2 linked regions of the Caenorhabditis elegans genome follow. The protein of the gene in region 1 purifies or fractionates together with the protein of each later gene. This does not show direct contact. Each region holds a gene or a part of one and is shown in the gene's direction. Other genes may lie near its edges.

What was found.
Region 2: the proteins of T18D3.1 (region 1) and Y105C5A.13 fractionate together in Caenorhabditis elegans (co-fractionation; one large-scale study listed by BioGRID). This does not show direct contact.

Annotation. Positions count from the first base shown.
Region 1 is NC_003284.9:12,452,005-12,459,883, forward strand, and holds T18D3.1 (WD repeat-containing protein 89), read left to right. Parts: upstream 1-2,740; 5' UTR 2,741-2,760; coding exon 2,761-2,950; intron 2,951-2,998; coding exon 2,999-3,270; intron 3,271-3,924; coding exon 3,925-4,229; intron 4,230-4,284; coding exon 4,285-4,384; intron 4,385-4,438; coding exon 4,439-4,599; intron 4,600-5,089; coding exon 5,090-5,633; 3' UTR 5,634-5,953; downstream 5,954-7,879. Other genes in the region: T18D3.9 (Mitochondrial inner membrane protein Mpv17), read right to left, coding at 1,117-1,245, 1,299-1,391, 1,434-1,540, 2,243-2,312; Nuclear hormone receptor family member odr-7, read right to left, coding at 7,065-7,228, 7,276-7,418.
Region 2 is NC_003282.8:15,638,412-15,644,328, forward strand, and holds Y105C5A.13 (SMP domain-containing protein), read left to right. Parts: upstream 1-2,819; coding exon 2,820-2,928; intron 2,929-3,064; exon of another isoform or gene 3,065-3,100; coding exon of another isoform or gene 3,101-3,192; intron 3,193-3,239; coding exon of another isoform or gene 3,240-3,378; exon of another isoform or gene 3,379-3,388; intron 3,389-5,111; coding exon 5,112-5,255; intron 5,256-5,302; coding exon 5,303-5,394; 3' UTR 5,395-5,417; downstream 5,418-5,917. Other genes in the region: Y105C5A.12 (SMP domain-containing protein), read right to left, coding at 3,101-3,192, 3,240-3,378.

The DNA of each region.
Region 1 (7,879 bases):
CGAACTATTTCTCCTCAGCATCAGTTTTTGTTCGTCTTCCTCCAAATCTATGTTGATCCAATCCTCATTTTGTGAATATCAATGCATCCTCTTTTTATTGTGCACTCTTTCAATTTCGGGATAAAGCTCTGCTCTTTTGGCGAGGACGAGTCGCAAATGCGACACTCGCGCACACGACGACGAATCGCACCAGCGATTCACCACGTCGCAACGACAAAACTCGCATCGCCGATAACGAAGAGGACCGCCGGTGCGACATAGATGTCGCAATGGAAACCCGTTGGCGACTTGCGAATCGCTCCGACGACACCGCCGGCGATGTGGACTCGCAATGTTGGAGCAGTTGGATGTTGCGTGTCCGCGTCGCGACGAGCCAGCGATAGGCGACAAATGCAGGCAGCAGTGGCTCAATTGCGGCGACGACCCGCACATTTTCTCGGCTGTCTCTTTTCGTTGAGACGCCTTGCTGGGAGATGAGGCGCGAAGAGAAAGGAGTCCTCATTCTGTCATTTGGAGAGGGAAAAATGGGTGAGAGAAAAAGAAAAGGTAATAGAGATGTCCAGTGTGTGTTCCGATTAGAAGAAAGTTTCGAAATTTGAGGGAACTGGGTTGAGCGCAACGAATGTGAAATCAGAGATTAGTTGTGATAATTAAGAATGTTAAAATAGAAAAAAAATATATGTTGTGTCATTTTATGTTTTAATTTTATTAACTGATTTACCCAAAATTGAAACAAAGCATAGCGCCAGTAGATAATGTTCAAAATTGCTTTTATGGAGCTAGTTACATATTTAAGTAAAACTTTCTAAAAACTATTTCTAAAAAGTTGTATTACTATCAAAAAGTGGCATTTTCCTTGTTTACAACTATTTAAACTTCATTCGCCGACCAAATAATTTACTACAAGCTTGATATTTTTATTGTATTTTAATAATTTATGGTTGAAGATTGTATGGCTTTATACGGGCACTTTTAATTTTTTATTATTAGCTAATTCGTCAAAACTGTAACTGAGAAACTTAAGTCTAAACAATCTTTGAATTGTTCATCTAATCTTTGAATGAAGCTTTGAAAATGAATGTATTTTTTCCTAATTTTCCAAAAAAATGTATGTACCTTTAAACTTGTTGCATAAATGTTGAACCAATCTTCTTTTAGAAGATCCCACGACTTTTCCGCTGATTGGTGTTGCAATAGCCGGAGATTGAACAGTATTGCGGCGTTAAAGCAAGGACTAAAACAGAGCTGGAAAATTGTATTTTAAAGGTTGTTATTTTTATAAATTTGATGTTAATCACCTGGTCAATGCAAAGTTTTTTAACAAGAAGTAGTGATTTATTATTTCCTTTCACTTTTTCCAGCAAACGAAACCATATGAACAATGATGGCGCCTGAATAAACTATAAAAAAAATTTCTTAAAGGCAAGTTTCACCATAAAACAACTTGACAAAAATGAAAATCGGGCCGTCCTCCAACGATCCCATTCTTGGTTATGCGATAAGTATTGCGCTAAACAGTCACCAGATCCACTGATTGTTCCTGGAAAGTACTCTTCATATTTCCAAATTTATAACCAATTATCTATCCTCTTTCTTCTATCAAGCAACTTGTCTTGCCTGAACCAAACCATCACAACACGAAAGATGCGCAAATACATTGTTGGCGCGTTTTGTGTGCACAATTTAGTTTTTAAATCATAGAGTGGTCAATTTTAATTATGTAATCGGTTTTTTGCTGTCACCCTGATATAAATTTTAAATATTTGATTCAATACGTTTTCGATCAATTTTTTTTAAGTTTTGTTCATTTGTTTATTAAATATGAATATCAGGCTATCACGTTTCAGTTTATCGATAATTCGATTCCGGTCAACCAGAAAAAGTCAATTGGGAAACTTCAATTCTTGGATATATCCTGTTTTTGGGAAATAGTTGTCTTAAATTAGCAGAAAGATAAGATAAATATTTTTTTCAAGAAGAATGTTCACAACGAATGTAAATAGAGCAATTTCAAAAAATTGAGCTGGAATAACGAAAGAGCAATTTATTGTGTTTAAAACAATTTTTAATTAGTTCTAGCTTACTTTTCTATCCGATAAGTCTCTAACATAATAAGGTTTGCTTATAAATTAACGTAGGATTTACTTTTAAAACAAATTCAGCTAAACATGTTTATATTGCCAATCTTGTCTTAAAATTTGTGTTTCCTTTTTTATCATGTTCCTCGAGTTTCCATACTCACCAGCTATGCACATCTGCGTTGAAAGTGGATTTGTTGCTAATCTTCGTCGAATAAATAGTATTATTACCATAATTGTATCCCTGAAACTGTTTTTATATTCAATAATTCTCCAAATTTTGCCTGAAACTATTGAAAAATAGACTAACAGCTTATTCACAAGCTGCAATTCACACGTACGTGCCAAACATCAATACGAGCGTTTGTACTAAAGTCCACTTTCTCAATGGAGCGCGTTTACTGTGGTTAGGAAAAAATTGCGTGGCCTAGATACCACCGAACGCGCGCACCTTACCTTTTCTCCCTGTGTTTAGTGTTGTCCCCATTTTATATCTCCCCCTCCTCTCTGCCCACTAGTCTGTTAAATTATCGATTTTAATCCTCTTCTTTTTCATTCTAATTCCAAACAAATCAAAACTTTCTTTTTGAAACAAACGTTCTTTAATGATTTATATTTACAATTTTTGTCCCAATTTTTTAATACCAAAATATTATATTCAGAGTAGCGACCTCAACTCGAAATGCCGGTTAGAATCGATTTGAGCTCCAATGCATCGGTCAGACTGCTCAGTGTCAACGATGAGAACACCGCATGCGCATATTTGGCAAATCTCTACATTCCAATCTTCTCCCTAGATTCTGGAAAGGTGATTCGTCGCTATGAGGTGCCCAACCAGATTGCTGGAATTCATTTCAGTTTCAATAAGAAATGTGAGAAAGAGATTTAAAATAAAAATGAAATAAATTGTTAAATTTCAGCTGTAATCTACGCGGTCGACGATTCATTTGGACTTCACACTTTTGATTTCCGCACCGACTCGAAGAAGAAGCATCGCATGAACCCAGAGTCTGAGAATCACAACGTCGTCTGCACTGCATTGTCGTCGAACAGCACAACTATTGCAGTCGCTAGCTCCGAGTTTGGAGGTGGAATCCTTGACGTTCGGGGTTCTCGACGTCGTGAGCATCATCATCATGTTGTTTCACTTTACGACCTGCGTTACCCGAATGATCCAATTACTAGCTACTTCGTAAGTGTGTCATCAAGATGGAATTTCAGTGTTGGGTTGGGTTTATCGCCTGTAGAGACTCAAATTGTTCCGGAAAAATCAAAACTTTAAAAAAGTTGCAAAATGACAGATAAAATATCAAATTTTGCATTATTTTCCGTGCTCTGGAAGTTGCGAAATAGCTTTTATGTAATTCTTATCCTTTGTGGTACATTTTAGTCGTTTTTTCTTTTGTTAATTATAGTACATTTAAAGTCAATAGGTAACCAAAATGACCAAAACATTACCTGTCGGCCTAAAATGTACTTTATGTTACAAAAAATTGAGATAAACGACTGCAATGAAAAATGATTGTTAAATAAAAATAAATTTCGGATCGCTGCGACACGGAAAAATTTGAAAAATTGGAGGTTTTAGCTAAAATTAGGCAACTTTTATCGAAATTTTGAACCGCAATATACATTTTTAAAACAAAAGTTGAGAAGTCTTATTACTAATTGTAAATTCGTTCAGTCTGGCACATTTCAAGTATATACAAGTAAAAATCGCAAAATCGATTAACACAACCACAATAATCATCAGACTTTGAAAAAAATTTTGTATTTTTTGTCATTATATATTGGCAACAAAATTATAGTACGATATTTAAAAAAATCACAAATTTTTTTTTTTCAGAAACGGCTCAAATCGTCAGTAACAAGTATGGAGTTTTACTTGAACGGAAACGATCTGATCCTAGGAGATGAGAGCGGCTCCATCAAGTCGTTTGACTGTCAACTTCGAGATGAAGATAATGCTGTTCGGTGGGAGCGCTGGGCAACGGGACCCATCTCCAAAGTTGGAGTGATCAACAAGCGAATTGTGTATGGAATCTCCCGACAATCTCAAGCTTCAGTATTTGTTGACAGTAAAGGAAAATTGGAGGTTCTCTATGGAAGTGTCACTGAAAGCGCCGATGATCCAGTTGTTGGGACTTCAAAGTGAGTTTTTGTAGTAAATTGATCGCAACTCTAAATCAAAAAAAAAACATTTCAGAGCATATTACAAGGATCCAGAATGGTGCATTGGGCTCATCAAAGGAGTGAACGACGATATTCCATTGGTGGGGGTTCATGGTGTCAAGAAGAAGAAAATTGTAAGGGTTTAAGTCTCAAATCAAACTGAATTGCAACTGAAACTTTTCTTCCAGATCTCTATGACAGCAATGAACCAAGATGGTGTCCGTCAAGAGAAGCCAATGTTGAGCTACAAAGGTCACAAAGGAGAAGTGAAGTGCATGGCCGCAACCAAGGATCTTCTGCTCACCGGCGGAGAAGATGGAAAAGTTATTGTGCAGATTGCCAATTTTAAGTAAGTATACTTTGAGAAGGACAGGAAACTAATGTAATAGATGCTAAAAATTAGAAACAAATCAGAGTTTGAAAAATCATTTGATAAAACAATGAAACCATTGAACAATTTCTATTGCATTGCCAGATTTTTTGATATGCGATTTTTAGATTTTTATTAACCTCTAAAAAGTTGAAGTTGATTATTTTCATTCGCAAGTTGATTGAGCATGAAAAACAACCATTTTAAATTATAAATTGTAACTTTTATAGTGCCTTAAAATATTCAAAATTGCCAGTTCAAAATGTTTTTAAAAAACTTCGAAGTTATGTTTTTTTGAACCATTTTGGGTCTAAAATAACAATGTATCAAACTTCAGTACTCCACCAATATCCATTAAAGCAGCACATTTACACCTTGAAAATCAGAAAGTGTTTACATTTTCCATATTCACTGTAGATCTTGCCATCAAAAACTTAAATGCATATCGCATAACAACTTTTATTTTCAGAAACCCCAAGTTTGGCGATGACAACATTAACCACCACCGTCTGACACTGAACCGTGGCAATTTGGCAGAACTTAAAGACAAAGGTCTCGAGAAAGACGATGAAGCTATCTCCGAATCTGATGATTCCGAGTCGGATGATGGATCAAAGCCAAGTACATCTGCATCTGCATCAGTGTCTTCTTCTTCGAAACATAAGAAGGACAAACACGACATTCCATCAACTTCATCGGCAGCTTCTACTTCGTCATCTTCTTCATCCAAACATGAAACAAAAGAGGAGCGCAAAGCACGAAAGGAAAAGGAACGTGAACGAGCGGAAAAGAAGGCTAAGAAGGAGAAAGATGGTCATCGGGAGGAGGAAAAGCCCAAGAAGAAGGATAAAAAGCACGAAACTGAGGAGGAACGCGCGGAACGTAAGCGAAAGGAAAAGAAAGAAAAGGAGCGTCAGGAGAGAAAAGAGAAGGAACACGATGAGCAAAAGAAAAGACACCGCGACAATGAAGAGGGAGCTGGATCGAGCTCTAAACGGTCCAAAGCTCCATAGGCAATTCATAATTTTTGTTTTATATTTATTTATTTATTTATCACTTTCAACCCCAGTTCTTCTCCCAAAAGCCTTATCATTTTTCGCCCATTTAAATTAAGTTATAATTTATTGAAATTATAATATCATAGAACAAAATTTCGCTCATCCCAAGCATTTCTTTATTGATTTTTTGTTAAATTTACACCAGTCTTACTTTCAGTCTCGGATCTCCTTGCAACTATTGATCCCCATGATTCAAATTTATTGAGCATTCCTCAGACAGATCTACCTAAAAGTCTATTTTTTGTTGAATAAATTGCAATTGAAAAATGGGTAAAACTTTGAAATTAGTCTTAACCACTTATGTTGGAATAACACTTTACATTAAAATCTGAGTCTAACAATTATTAAGAAAAAAAATCTGAGTCTAACAATTATTATTATTATATTTAGTTTCATTTAACTTCCAATAACACCATTCTACCAGAGTGCTAGAGTGCTGCTATAGATGTTTGCCTTTATGTAAATGAACTCGATTAATAATGCAAAAAACTTATGGAGGTATGGGGAATTGAACCCCAGCCCTCTCCCATGCTAAGGGAGCGCTCTACCACTGAGCTATACCCCCAGATGACAACAGGTGTCAATTGGATGTTGAGATTCCCGGTAGAACATTCCACGGAATTTAGGTCTTTGCGATTGTCATCAACGACAGGGAAAACTATCGCAAGTCAACATATAGACAGGTTTTTCCGTATAAATTGCATCACAGCGCGCAATAAAGCAAATATAGAAAAGTATCTTTCAAATTGAGTACGAGTTTCTTATTCAATACTGTCATTGGTTGCTGTGTTCCTTCAAAATTTCAACTACACATGTTGTACAAAATAATTATTACAAAAGTAAGAAGATAATAGCATTCTCCGTTAGCCAAGTTGCAATGAAAATTAAATTAAACAGTATGTGCAAATGTTCATAAAAGAATTATAACCAAAAAGCAGTAATTGTAACCACGACGCCTAATATCTTTAAATTAGTTAATTACTGTTAAATGAAATTGGTTATATGATATCATTTAAAACAAAACTTGTTCTACACAGAAAACAAAAAAAATGTTTTCAAAATATTTGCCTCGTTATTCCAATTTTACATTTAAAAAATCAGATAATTATTTGATATTTATTTTCCTGACTTTAGAAAAACTTACTATTAAAACACTATCTAATTGAAAAAAAAACTATTGATTAGAAAAATAGTATGACTGATCAGATCGATGTTTCTTTTACATACTGGGGACCGTTTTTACTGTTTCAATACGTTTTATGAAAGAACTGCCTTAGCCCTTTCCAGATCGAAGTAAATTATTTTTTATTGAATCACATTGTGAGTATCGGTAATAATAGAACTGGAACTTATGCTTTGAGATCGGAAGATAAACAATTATCACGCTCAATTAGTTGTGTGACGAGGTGATTCACTTGAGGATACAGTGATCGGTTGAGCTGCTGATCCAGAAGGTTGGAATGAGGGGTAAAATCCGTTGAAGAAAGTGTCAAATGGAGTTTTACGAGGCGGGGATCCAGAATCTCGACGATTTCGCTTGTGCTGCACATCTGACATAAATTTGGTGAGCATTATGATTTGACAAAAAAAAACCAACTTTCTGGAAGCATTCCAATTTCCAGACATCGTTTCATTCGACAACTCCGACAAATCTTCCGATACCCAGTTCCATCGCGGCTTGCATTATTGCACCGTTGGTTCCTCTTACAGACATATCGTTTGTCATCGCTGATAGTTCTTCTGAAATTTTATGATGGGGTTTTTTAACTTAACAGTTTTCTGTGTAGCACACAGGCTTTATTGAGTCATACTGGTTTGAACTGAAGCATTGACAACGAAATAAAATTAAACAGTGTGTTTTAACATTTACAAGCATTCAAAACATCAAAACAAATCATCATCAAAAATGTAGTAGCGATAATTGTTTTAATATGATACTTTGAAAAAAGTTATAAGATGGTTTAAAGTCAGAAAAAAGTAATCCTTAAAGCTGCGAATATTACAAAAATTTTTGACGCGCTTGACAAATTGATTTTTGTTTCAATTCTGTTCATTTAACTACAAAACAATTAAAATTAACCTTCAATCGCTGCGACACGCAAAGTTTTTAAATCAAAGATTTCAGCTAAGCTTATCTAATATTTTAAAAAACCGTAAAATGTTTTTTTTTGAGACGTTTTCTAGAGTTCTCAAGTCTCAAA
Region 2 (5,917 bases), on another chromosome or scaffold:
GCGTAGGCGCGGCAGTGCGGAACTTTGTGGAGAGATGCTTGGGCTTCGGCTTAGGCTTAGGCTTTGGCTTAGGCTTATTTTCAACTTGAAAGTTTTGTGCAGCTTTTAGATTCCAAAAGAATCTCAAAATTTAGAGACATAACCTTCACGTTGAAAATGAAAATATAAATCTATGCTTTTTTTTAAATCTATGTCAGACTGTTTCAGAGGATCCGCACCTCAAAATTAACATGATATTTGTGTTTAACGTGTTCTGAGCATTCTAAAAACTATTTTTTCGACCCAAAAAGCTCAATTTCAATTTTTCGTCTATTTTTTCGGAAGGCAAAGGTCCACTTTCGTTTTTGAGAGCGGAGGACGATTACGGAGATTAGCAGGATTTTTTGAAGGATTTTTTAGGACATTATAAAAACCTCAAAAAAGTGATCATTTTTCAGAATTTCAAGTCGATACGTGGGATATGAAGAGTTTTATGAGCAAAATTGGATTTTTTCAGAAAACGGTCTGTAACTTGGCTGATCATGAAAATTTGAAAATACTTATTATTGTTAAAATGTGAAGAAAAATTTTTTACTTATTATACATTAAAATTTTTTCTTCTGAAATTTAATAGAGTTTGGGTTATGACTGGTACAACAAACGAGTTCTCAAAATTTTTTGTGATTTTTGGCAAAATGGCTTTGACTCTGTGTAACTCAATAAATAATTAATATTTTGTAAGCAAAAGTAATGCAAAAGAAAGAAAATGTATTTCTAATCATTTTTGTAGTTGAACATTTGTTTGTGAGACGTGTATTTTTTGAGATATGCCTGTTTGAAGATACAAAATTTACCGAGTCTAGGAAGATTTGTGGATCACCAAGCCTTAACTTGCACCTTTTGCTGATATATATAATTTTAATGAGGATAATTTAGAATATGACTTTGTTTGATGTGATCAGTTCAGCATTTGGACTGGCAGTAAGTTATCTGGAGTGTTCTTTAGAAATTTCGCAACCATTTTTTTTTGAAATTCCACTGCAGTGCTCATAGTTCTTCTACAAATTTCACACTCTATGATTCAAGAATATTCTTAAAAGTGGTCTATCAGTTTTTGAATTGTTATGGTAATTTTCACACATTATTACTCTTGCACTCTTTTTTTGTTGTCATTTTTTAAATTTGCTATTCTAAAAATTAAAAAAAAAACAAATCTGTTGGCTTCCACATTTTGAAGATGATAGATACTATCAAAATAAAATAAACTAAGAATTATTGTATAAATATTTTCATGTTTTAACACTTAAATACATATTAATATCATTAGTTTCAGAAAATTTACACACAGATTTTTGCAATTATTGATTTTTGCTCATAAAATCCCCCATTTTCAACATTTTCGTTTAAAATTTTGATGAAACATCGTACTTTTAGGTCCTCTATTAGATTCCGAAAGAATTTTTCAAAAATGTTGGCTCATCTCCAAAATCGTCCTCCGCTCTGAAAAACGAAAGTGGACCTTTGCCTTCCGAAAAAATGGGCGAAAAATTGATATTGAGCTTTGTGGGTCGAAAAAATAGTTTTTAGAATGTTGAGAACACGTTAAACACGAATATCATGTTTATTTTGAGACCCGGATGCTCTGAAAGTGCCTAAAATTAAAGCAAAAAATTGTTTTGTATATTCACGTGAAAATGTTTGGACAGGTTTTTCATCCGCTAAATTTTGAGATTCTATAAAGTTGCACAAAAATTTCACGTTGAAAACAAATAATAATAAACCTATACTTTTTCACAGTTTTGTCGTAAATTCCTCGATTCTAGCTAACTTGCCGAGTTAGCCTTATCAGCTACTGCTTTGTTACAATAGACACTAGGCACTTCAGGTAACTCACCATGACTGCCTCCGCAGCGTACAACACAAAAAACGGGTTCCCCCGATACGAATGGTTTCCCTTAAACCTGAATATCGTATAAACTATCATAGAATTCAAAACGACACTGAGAGACAGATAAGTCGCCTGAACCAAATACTCCAATACGGAAAGCATCACATGCGAATCTTCGTTACAAGTGAATGGCAGAGGATCATCGTAGGAAAAGTTAGCGGGGATTATGAGACGGGTGCTCATTTTGGTGGCGGCTTGAAGGAGTCAAAATGAGCCAGCTGACAAGTAGGAGGGGGATAATTATAGCCCTGGGGGGTTTTGTTGTGATGTCAATTTTGGCACGAGGTGCGGAAAAAAGAAAAAGAAACCAAAGTTGTTATATTGTGAATCATTATTATAGGTGTCAGGAAAAAAGTGACAAATTGATTTTTTCATTGTTTAGAGGAGTCTGACAAGCCTTAAGTAGACCGATATATAGATAATTATAGACTTTCGTAAGGTAGGAAAATGTTTGAAAAGTGACAAATTGCTCTACTAACTAGTTATATGACATGACATTATATTTTCAGCTATTGTTGTCTGTACTAAACTAGAGACTAGTTTTTTTTGTCAAAATATTATAGTACTTAGAGCAGATGACATCATAGTTTGTGCTGCCTGTCTGGGTTACTGTAGGAGTACTGTAAAAATACTGTGACGGAAAGGCGAATGACTCATGCTTTCTGTAGTGATCAATGTGCTTCCAATTCTGTTATCAATTGCAAAACCTTGCTCGCTTTTCTTTTCTGCGGCGAACAAAACGTCAACAAACTGATAATCAGTTTCCGTTACTGATAAGAATCTCAACTTTTCTGCCAACCCTCTAGTTTCCGTTGAGCCTACATATAAAAAGGCTGCCTTCCATTACTTTCTTGCATTCTTTTTCTCAAGCGGTCTATCAACTCCGTGAACAATGAATCGTGCACAGTCGGAATCAAACAAAAAACTGGCGGCGTCACAAGAAGCCCGTCAGCCACCTAGCTCACAAGCAAGGCACGGGAATGCAAATTCTGCCAACCAAGGTGAATATAGTCTGCCATTTTTTCTAGTAACTTCCATTAACTTTCAGGTCAAATGAATGGTCTGAAAGTGCTTACAGCTGACAGCTTCAGCTTTCCAATGCCGTACTTTTTATTTCAAAATACCAAAAAAACGTTTAAAAATTAACATTTATTAACAAATCCTTAAAATCAATTATCTCTTTGCTGCAGCATTTTCTCTGGCGGTTTTCATATGGCTTTTGGTCCAGTCGGCCACATTCCGTGCGTTGTCTGCACTTGGTTGATCTGAAAATGTTCAATTATTATAGAAAGTTAACACTAATTAAACTTACATCTATAGTTGGGATTCGCATTTCCCGGACGTCCCTGGTAATTTGAAGAGATTGGAGGCATATCGTTGTGCCGACCGGCCAGGGCTCCGGCCATGTCTTTTCCGACGGTTCCTGGCTGTGAACGTGGTGTAGTGGGCATTTTGGCTGAAATTTGAAAATTTAGTGAGAAAATGAAGAGAAAACTGATTTTTCTATATTATCCGGCCAACTTTTTATACGGGCGGTTTTGCTTGAACCCCGCCCACTTTTCACGCTCTCGTATGATAATTGCTCGTGATTTCGCTATGTGTGAGCAAGAAACAATTGTTTTCAACCGCTATCCCCGTCACAATGGCCACATAAAATTCCATCATAAAACTCTAGTCGGAAATGTGTACGAAGAATGAGTCACAGTTAATAAAAATTACTAATATCTATAAAATGAGCTGGAATACTATTTTTGAAGTAATTGTGACCAACAAATTTAGGGTCAATAAACAATTTTCATTGGATTTTTCTGAAAATAATCCAATGTGTTGTTTGAATTACAGTTTTAAAGCAAAATACCAAAATGGCCAAAAACATATATTTTTTTGAACCATCATGACTTTTCTTAAAAATAAATTTTAGAGCGTTTCATTTCAAAATTCGGCAGTTTTGGACCGTTTTGGATCTAAATAGCAAATGCTCAAATCCACCTTTAAAAATTGAGGTTCAAATAACATATTTAGCCAAATCCAATGAAAAATGTTCATCAAAAAGTCTAGATGATTCCGAACCTTTCTAACCAAATATTATGTCCCTTAACATTACTTCCAAAACTTTTATCTTGTATCAGGTGACCGGAAACTTGAAAATGTTTCGAAAACTATAGCTTCATGCCAATCACTTTGAATTTCTGGTTTCTGGGCTTTGGACCCGGGACTCTGGGCTCGTTGGGGATAGAATATATTGAACTTTCGTCCGAAGAAAAATGATTTTGGCAAACTGTAATTGTTTGCTCACTAAACAATTTACTTTTTTGGCGATTGAAGTGAACGATAAGACACAGGTGGGAGCGAGATTCAAACTAGGCAATATTGTCTAAAACCGTAATATCAAACTGCAGAGCGCATTTTGTTGATTAATTATTTCCAATTTTAGACAGATCCACAACTTGGTCACAATGCCGAACATTTCGATCTTCCTGAATTCTTCGAAAATTGTTTTTTTTGTTTAGAGTGAGCAAACAACCACAGTTCGCCAAAAACATTTGTCTTTGGGCGAAAGTTCAATATGTTCTATTCCCAACGCGCCCAGAGCCCAGAACCCAGAACCTAGAGCTGAAAAAACAGAAGTTCAAAGTGATTGGCAAGAAGCTAGAGTTTTCATAACATTTTCAAGTTTCCGGTCACTTGATACAGGATAACAGTTGTGGAATTAATGTTATGGGACATGATGATTGATTAGGAATGTCCTGTAGTGCATACGGTAACCTCTAAAACTTTTCATCGACATTTTTTATTGGATTTGGCTGAATATAAGCCAAAATGTTATTTGAACTCCAATTTTTAAAGATAGTGTTCCGAATATTGAAAATTCGTTTTTTCGCTGTATTCCAGCTCATTTTATTGATATTAGTAAATTCTATAATATTAACCGTGACTCATTCATCGTACACATTTCCGATCAGAGTTTTACGATGGAGTTTTATGTGGCGCCATTGTGACGGGAATAAGTGCAAAAACAATTTTTTGCTCACCTAGCGAAGTCACACGCAATTATACGAGTTTCTGATAAAAGAGCGTGAAAAGTGGGCGGGGTTCAAGCAAAACCGCCCGTATAAAAAGTTGGCCGGATAATATAGAAAAATCAGTTTTCTCTTCATTTTCTCACTAAATTTTCAAATTTCAGCCAAAATGCCCACTACACCACGTTCACAGCCAGGAACCGTCGGAAAAGACATGGCCGGAGCCCTGGCCGGTCGGCACAACGATATGCCTCCAATCTCTTCAAATTACCAGGGACGTCCGGGAAATGCGAATCCCAACTATAGATGTAAGTTTAATTAGTGTTAACTTTCTATAATAATTGAACATTTTCAGATCAACCAAGTGCAGACAACGCACGGAATGTGGCCGACTGGACCAAAAGCCATATGAAAACCGCCAGAGAAAATGCTGCAGCAAAGAGATAATTGATTTTAAGGATTTGTTAATAAATGTTAATTTTTAAACGTTTTTTTGGTATTTTGAAATAAAAAGTACGGCATTGGAAAGCTGGAGCTTTCAGCTGTGGAGCTGTGGAGCTGTGAGGAAAGTATCGGAGTTTGTTCAGAACCTGTGGAAGCCGGGAGGGGTCTTGTCTGTAAAAACCGAGAGAGCTTCCTTGCATGTTAGTTTTTGCTCACAAATAGCAACTGACCAACTGTTCAAAAAAAAAAACTAGTGGACGTTCTCATTGGCTGGTCCCACTCAGAGTACTGTAGAAAGGCACAGACGTAGAATAGAACAACTTACGAAAACTCAGGTTCAGGGCAAGCAAATTGTAAAGACAACGCATCCTGGAGCATGGGTAGGATGCTGAGAGCTCCAAACGCAATAATCGCTATTCTTGTAGGCTATAATTATCTAGAGGCGCGTAAGTACTATTTTAATTGAAAAGAGCTTGGCCTTACTTACTTATTTACCGTAATGGTACAGTAAAAACACTTTTGCAAG